Sus scrofa: one gene and its partner. Each later gene encodes a partner of the first gene's protein in a complex. Links are inferred from orthologs where the notes say so. Each region holds a gene or a part of one and is shown on either strand. Other genes may lie near its edges.

Region 1 (3,745 bases):
GGCTATTCTGACTCCCCGTTTCCTCAGGGACTTCAGGATATCCGGCCTGACTGCACTTCCCCTCACCTGCTCTCGGGCCCATTTCGCTGAGGGCAGTCGCGCCCGAGGAGCGCGCGCAGCCACCATGAGCTCATTTCTCAGGGGCGTTTCTGGAAGGTCGGGCCTGGGCGCGCCCGCGCGCGGGGCTGTCGGCCTCACTCCTATCACTGGCCTTCGCGTTTGGGCGGGGCGCGGCCGCGCAGAGGTGGAAGCTTTGTTCTCAATTTAGCGTTTGAGAACTCGCACCCCTGCCTGGAAGCACACTGAATCCGTCCGGGCCTTTCGGGGAAGTAGCTGGCACTGGAGACGCGCTCTCCCCAGCGGAGGGAAACCTTGTGCGCACATGAGCCCCGCCCCGCCGGGAGCCTGTAGTCGGGAGGGGGAGAGAGCCCTTAAACCCTCAGTTCGCTTGAGCGCTCCGAGCCCCGACCGGCTGACTGCAGCAGTTTCCCACTGGCGGGCGAAGGGCTCGCGCTATCTGCGGTTTTCACACAGGCTGCGAGTAGCCACAGGCAAGCCTGTCTGACCATCCACCACAACCCCAGACGCGCTTCTCCCGGCTGCCGGGACCGCCGCCGAGGCCGAAGGCCAATCACACTGCAGCTAGGTCTCGCGATTGGAGGGCAGTGAGTGCCGATTGGCTACTGCTACCGCTTTCGGTCTCCCTCCTTTTCCCTTTTGCCCCCACTCCAGCTCCAAAGCTTGAGACCAATGAGAAGGCGCTTTATAGAGCCCTCCCTTCGCTTTCTACTTCTCCCCACCTTGGCCAGGGAGGAGACGTCCTGACTGGTCAGACTGTCCTCGGAAGCCCCATTCTCTTCACCAATCACCAAGGGAGGTACACTCCCAGCGGAGTTTTGGCCAATTACAAAGCGGTTGCAGCTCCCAGCCTTGCGGTTTCACCAGCAACTCCCGGCTTCACAGTTCTTAACTCTTCAAGCTTTTTCGTGAGAGCCGGCGACTCTGATTGGCCGCTGCTGCCATTGTCGAATTTCTCCTCCAGCCAGCCACAGTATCACTCCAACCCATCTTCTTCTCGGTCGGCTATCTTCGGCACTTTCCGCCCTTGGGCGTGATTTCCAGTGGTACTTTCTAATTGGCTCCTCTGGCCGATCGGCTTTTTCCGGGAGGAGCCGCAAACAAACGACGTCCGTGATTGGCTCCGCTCGGGCTTCGGCTCCCCTGCCGAAGGGGGCGGGCGCCGGGCTCGGCCGGCAATTCTCAGACGCCTGTTACGCGGGCGGAGGGGCGCTGGGCGGTGTAAGGCTGGGTGGGGGAGGAAGGAGGCGGAGGACGAGTAGGAGGGGGGAGGGGTTGGGGAAGAGCTAGGCGGCTGCGCAGACGGCACTCCTCACACAGAACAGCCCCCGACCCGGGCGAATGCGGGCTTTCGCTGCTGCTGCCGCCGCCGCTGCCGCCGCCGCCGCCGCCGCCGCCGCCGCCGCCCGGGCCCGAGTGACAAAGGAAGGAAGGAAGCGAGGAGGAGCCGGCCCCGCAGCCACTGACAGGGCTTCGGGCTGGGGGCAAAGCGCGGACACTTCCTGAGCGAGACCGAGCAGAGGCGAGGGGCGGGAGGGAGGGCGGTCGCGCCGGTGCCGTGGACGGGGGAGGGGGCCCCGAGGGACGGAAGCGGTTGCCGGGTTCCCATGTCCCCGGCGTATGGGGAGCAGTCGAGGAGCCGCTGCCTGGGGTCTGAAGGGAGCTGCCTCCGCCACCGCCGCCGCCATGGCCGCTGGATCCAGCCGCCGCCTGCAGCTGCTCCTGGCGCAATGAGGAGAGGAGCCGCCGCCACCGCCCGCCTCTGACTGACTCGCGACTCCGCCGCCTTCCAGTTCGCCGGGCCCCAGCCGTCAGCCCGCCGGATCCCGCCGCTGCCGGAGCCGCAGCGTTTCCCGTCGCATCTCCGAGCCACCCCCTCCCGCTCCCTCCCTCCTTCCCATCCCCCCTTCTTTTCAAGCGTGAGACTCGTGATCCTTCCGCCGCTTCCCTTCTTCATTGACTCGGAAAAAAAATCCCTGAGGAAAATATAATATTCAAAGTACTTATTTTCAATCAAGTATTTGCCCCCGTTTCACGTGATACATATTTTTTAGGACCTCCCACCCATTTCTACCCTCCAAGGAAAGGGAGGGGAGAGAATTGTATTTTTTTTTTCCCCAGTCCCAGATCATCTATATGTTAAATATCCGTACTGATCTGTCTTCAAGGAGAAATACATCGCTCGCATTTTTTTGTCGCTATACAAAAGGAGTGAAGAGCCAAGAGGACGAAGTCTTTTTTTTTTTCCTGTGGGAGAACTTAATGCTGCGTTTATCATTAACCTAACACCCCAACATAAAACAAAAGGAAGAAGAGGAGGAAGGAAGGAAAAGAAGGTGATTCGGGAAGACAGTGATCATGTCAGGGCGGCCCAGAACCACCTCCTTTGCGGAGAGCTGCAAGCCAGTGCAGCAGCCTTCAGCTTTTGGCAGCATGAAAGTTAGCAGTGAGTATTGATTTTATTTTACACTCTTTCTCCACCTCACCCTTTAAATAAGAGACTTTGAAATACCAGGATCTTAAAATATGATGTCTGATATAACAATCAGAGATAATGGAAAAGGGCAGAAACCTGTCTTCTGTCAAGGATGAGGCAGCTCCCTCTTTTCTCCTCCCATACTCCCTCCCCCGGTCTCATTAACCTTGAATAGAGGGAATATGATTTTTATTTGGATGATTTGACTTGAAATATTTCTTATAGTTTTCTTGCCAGCTTTATCAAGCGGTTGACTTATTTCCATCTTAAAATAGTGATGGAAGTGTTTACTTGGCTCATTCTCATGAATAAAGCGAAGGACAAGATTCATAAACCATTATGTGCTTTTGCAGTGTGTCTTTAGGAACAAGGGATAGTTAGCTCAGATCTCAGGGGTTATCATAGTTTTGTACACTTAATAGAGGAGCTAAATGTCACAGTCTCTTAACAGTTCTTTCTTGCCTTTGTGACTGTACAACGCATTTGTTCTTAATCCAGAGATGAACTTGCTCAGTGACCACTTTCACATTTCCAGGCAAGCATTGATTCCTCCTCTTAGAAGGGACCCGTGAGGTTGATACTCAGTAGCAGTAGTATCTCAACATGCATTGTTTTAAGTCTACCACTATAGAGTTAATATTTAATCAAAAGGTAACTTGGAAGTAGGTCCTGGTTTTGATCGAGATTTGTATTGTCATGTTGTCAGATACTGAGTTGAATGTTAACTGTCACTGACCCTCCATATATCAGTTTTGGGGATGCCATTGCATTCCATACATGCTAAATGATGTAAAGTTCAGGGGTCCCTTCTTAAGACTGTTTAAAATACTCTTGCATTGGTTTTCTTTAGGTAAGACTATCCAGTTAGAGGAATATGGATTTAGACCTTTTCATCATAGGTTTTGCAGAATGCTGTGGTCCTGGATATAATAGGGTATAATTTGGGCTCTGTTCAGGGTTATTACTAGACTGGACCCTCTTGCTAGATTTGTGCAGAAAAGTCTAGTTGAGTGGTACACTAAGTGTCAGATGTTCCTGTGTATCTCTGTTTATGTGGAATTTAAAGAGTTTATTTAAACGTACTTTCAGAATTTGACAAAAATATCTATTCTGTTTCCTTATTTCTCAAGAAAGGGGCATGATGAGGACAACGAAAAACTATTTGGTTGCCTAGAAGAAGGAGAGAATTGA
Region 2 (3,745 bases), on another chromosome or scaffold:
TGCAGCTGCTGGCCTACACCACAGTCACAGCAACTTGGATCCCAGTGGCACCTACTGCCTACAAAGCAGCCTGCAGCAAGACAGGATTCTTAACCCACTGAGTGAGGCAGGGATCAAACCCACATCCTCAAGGATATTAGTCAGGTTCTTAACCTGCTGAACCACAAGGAGAACTCTTCCTGCTCCATATTTTAAAGTAGCTCTCTACTGCCTGGTTTCTGTGTTTGTGTGTGCAGTGTTTTCTGGCTAATAGTTTTGCTCTGTTGTTTTTTTGGCCACAATTGGCAATAGGCATGCGTAAATTCCCTGGCTAAGTTCCCAGGAGCCAGGGATCTAACTGGTTCCACAGCAGTGACCCAAGTGGCTTCAGTGACGAGGCTGGATCCTTACCCCACTGCACTACAAGGGAATTCCTGTGGCTAACTGTTAAAACAGCTTTATTAACATATAACTTACATCATAAAATTCCCTCATTTTAATTTTTAATAAATTTACCAAGTTGTGCAACCATCACAGTTTTAGAATATTTCCATCACCTTGACACTATCCCTCTCCTGTAAAAGGCTGGTCCACCAATGGTCTACATGTAAGTGTAATGTGCAAGTTAGGCTTGAGGGACTTGGGATTTTGCATAAACCTCCAGGCAATACGACGGTAAAGGATCATTTTCCACCCCTCTTTCTTTTAAAAAATGAAATCTTGGTTACTCATTAAGCCAACCACGGTACCTTGAAGGGTTACGGTGGCCGTAACCTCTATTTCCATCCAAAGAACTGACCGTTTCCTCTCCTACTCCCCCTCAGAAAGGAGACTCCCCTACTGGGCTGAGGCATTCTTCTTAAAAGAACTTTCTAGCCCACAGCTTCTCCCAAGACGAGCAACCTCCTCTTCAGTAATGACAGCTCCAGTTCAGGTCCCCACATACCCATGCTCCCGATGGAAAAAGCATGAATCACGGGGCTTTCTCTGCCAATTCCCAATCCGCCACCGCCATCGTATCACAGGGTCCTTCGACCTCTCCGTCAGCCTCTTTTCCCTCATCTCCAGACAGATCTCTAACCTGACGCCTCTCCTGGCCACCACTCGCCTCACTTGCCTCGCCATCACTTCCCAAACGCTGGCATCTCGGACCTCAAAGGCGCAAATGCCAAAACTGGAAGAGTCGACGAGCCTAGAGAAGTGTGTAGGTGTGTGGGTGTAAGTGTATGTGCTAGTGCTAGTGTGTGTGGAAGAAACCAACGGAGTCCACGCTGGTGTCCATCTTCTGGCAATGCCAATCACGTCCGGTTAAGAGAGCGAAGACCTGCTCCCCAGTGCCCGCCGCAGGCAGAATTCAGGGCTGTGGAGCTCAGGGGTACCAAGGCTTCCCCTGTGCCCCTGCCCAGTGGGCGCTCCGCCCCCAACTGGCACGGCGCACCCCCGCAGCTGCTCGGTGGTAGAGCCCGGCGGCTACGTCACCCATTGTTTACAAATCAACCGGAGCCGGTAGGATTCCGGCTCCCGCGGCTGCAGGCGCGCGGCGAGAGTACCCAGCGGGCTCCAGCTTCAGCGTCTTCCCCAGCCCCGGCTCCGATCGCAGCACTGCTCCCCTCGCTGCCGCGGCCCACCGAACCCTACTGGCAGTCGAATCCCCAGCGACGCCGGCAGAGCTCCGGGTGCCCGCGCGGGGGACCATGCCGTGCCGGAGAGAGGAGGAAGAGGAAGCCGGCGAGGAAGAGGAGGAGGAGGAGGAGGAGGAGGACAGCGTCCTCCTACTGGAACAGTCGGTGACGCTGGGCGGCTCGGGCGAGGTGGACCGGCTGGTGGCCCAGATCGGCGAGACGCTGCAGCTGGACGCCGCACAGGACCGCCCTGCCTCCCCGGGCGCTCCCCCGGGACCGCCGCTGCAGCCCCCGCGGCCCCTGGCAGCCGTGAGAGCGGAGAAGGCCCTGGCCACAGCTCTGCCGCCGCTTCTGCCGCCCGGGTCGGCGGAGGCTGGGGGCCCGGCGCCCCCGGGGGCCCTGCGCTGCCCCCTCGGGGATCGCGGCCGCGTGCGGGGCCGGACTGCTCCCTACTTTGTGGCCGAGCTTGCCACAGGCCCCAGCGCTCTGTCCCCATTGCCCACTCAGCTTAGCCTTGATGGACCCTCAGGAGCGGTCAAGCGGGGTGCCCCGCAGCCGCTGTCGGGCCCACGCCGGCGAGGATGGCTGCGGGGTGCCGCCGCCTCCCGCCGCCTGCAGCAGCGACGTGGGCCCCAGCCTCAAGCTCGCACCGGCGATGATGACCCGCACCGGCTTCTGCAGCAGCTCGTACTCTCGGGGAATCTCATCAAGGAGGCGGTGCGGAGGCTTCATTCGCGACGGCTGCAGTTACACGCAAAGCTTCCCCAACGCCCGCTCCTTGGCCCTCTGTCGGCCCCGGTGCATGAGCCCCCTTCGCCCCGCAGCCCTCGCGCGGCCTGCAGCGACCCTGGCGCGTCCGGGAGGAGGACACAGCTCAGAACTGGCGACGGCGTTCTAGTCCCCGGCAGCTAACAGCCCGGGTGTGGCCTCAGCGCCAGCCTTTGCCTGGAGGGCAAGGGGTTCCCCTGAGGGCTGCATCCCTACTCTGACTGGCGAACTCGCGCTTTTGAAAGCGGGGAGATAACTCGTGAAGACGAGGAATCGAAAAATAGCGAATATTTTCGCGGGGAACTGAGGTCGAAGGGCCAGATATGGTTGAAAAGTAGGATTTAGTTGGTCCAACTTAAGGCAATTTACAGAGCCCACTCCAAGCTCACAGTCAATAGGACTCCTTATATGGCGTGACCAGTCCTGGTGGCACGGCGTGCAGTTCCACGCAGCCTCTCGGGGTCCTCTGGCCCAGCGACCATGTCGCCACAGCCCACGATTCTCAGGGTCGCCGAGCACCTGAACGAAGGGGGATGACCTCAGTTCCTTGATTTACCTTTCTAGGGCTGGTTCCTGATCCACTTTGGGGAAGGGGAACACGAGTAGATAATTTCAGAGTACCTCAAACTGCCAGACTTGAACATTTACGACACTTAAAACTCATCTCGTGTGTTTTGGGGTGCTGGTTCCTAATCTAAAACACGCGGCACCGGGAAAAGGACCCTTTCGGAAATTGAATAGGAGTAACCTTTTCTCCGCCCCCACTTAGCAGCGGCAGCGGTTCTCAGAGCGGTGGGGAAAGGGGGTTGCGTCCGGGATGCTGAGGTGAAGTGGGGGCGAGCGGTGCTGGGGAAAAGGGAGGGCGAGGCGCGGAGTGAACCCTCAGTCCTCTCAAAAGTGTATTTTCGCAGCCCGACCGCCCCTCCTTGGGTTCAAGGTCACTGTTTCCTGGGCGCACGTGAGATTGCGGGGCTCCAGCAGGGCAGAGAGTTGCCTGGTTCCGCCTGTACTCGGGGTAGAGCGCGGTGTTTTGCAAGTGCTGAAGTCTCCTGAGGACACGCGTACCCGCTGCCACCGCGTGTGTAGGGAGTCGGCGACGCGCTGGGCTCTGGTGCCTCCGGCGGGCGGCCGCGCCCCGAGTTATCACGGAAACTGCCCGGAGACAGGGCCTCGGGTACCTCCTCTTCCCCTCGGCCTTGCTGTACTACTCAAGCTGGTGGCGCTGGCGCTCCTGGGGGCCCAGGCTGGAGGCTGGGGAGACGCCACGTGACGGGGCACTCCAGGGACACACAGCCTAGCGCAGCAGCTTATAATGGGCTCTCGGGGCCGTTTGCAATAACAGCTGCAATTCCCTGGGTAGATGGAGTTGATTTCCT

Evidence for each region. The genes of interacting proteins can lie anywhere in the genome.
Region 2: the proteins of GSK3B (region 1) and FRAT1 are in contact, whole or in part, in a crystal structure (PDB 5OY4), measured with the Homo sapiens proteins. The link is inferred for Sus scrofa from reciprocal best matches to the Homo sapiens genes GSK3B and FRAT1. Residues at the interface, in NP_001139628.1 of Homo sapiens: Tyr216, Ile228, Phe229, Ser261, Gly262, Val263, Asp264, Leu266, Val267, Ile270, Lys271, Thr275, Pro276, Ile281, Tyr288, Thr289, Glu290, Phe291, Lys292, Phe293, Pro294, Ile296; in NP_005470.2 of Homo sapiens: His200, Leu202, Leu203, Leu206, Val207, Ser209, Gly210, Asn211, Leu212, Ile213, Lys214, Glu215, Ala216, Val217, Arg219, Leu220, His221.

What each region holds. Positions count from the first base shown.
Region 1 is NC_010455.5:140,134,766-140,138,510, forward strand, and holds the start of GSK3B (glycogen synthase kinase-3 beta), read left to right. Parts: upstream 1-1,343; 5' UTR 1,344-2,436; coding exon 2,437-2,524; intron 2,525-3,745. UniProt on the Homo sapiens protein: Constitutively active protein kinase that acts as a negative regulator in the hormonal control of glucose homeostasis, Wnt signaling and regulation of transcription factors and microtubules, by phosphorylating and inactivating glycogen synthase (GYS1 or GYS2), EIF2B, CTNNB1/beta-catenin, APC, AXIN1, DPYSL2/CRMP2, JUN, NFATC1/NFATC, MAPT/TAU and MACF1.
Region 2 is NC_010456.5:108,737,868-108,741,612, forward strand, and holds the start of FRAT1 (proto-oncogene FRAT1), read left to right. Parts: upstream 1-1,371; 5' UTR 1,372-1,673; coding exon 1,674-2,513; 3' UTR 2,514-3,745. UniProt on the Homo sapiens protein: Positively regulates the Wnt signaling pathway by stabilizing beta-catenin through the association with GSK-3. May play a role in tumor progression and collaborate with PIM1 and MYC in lymphomagenesis.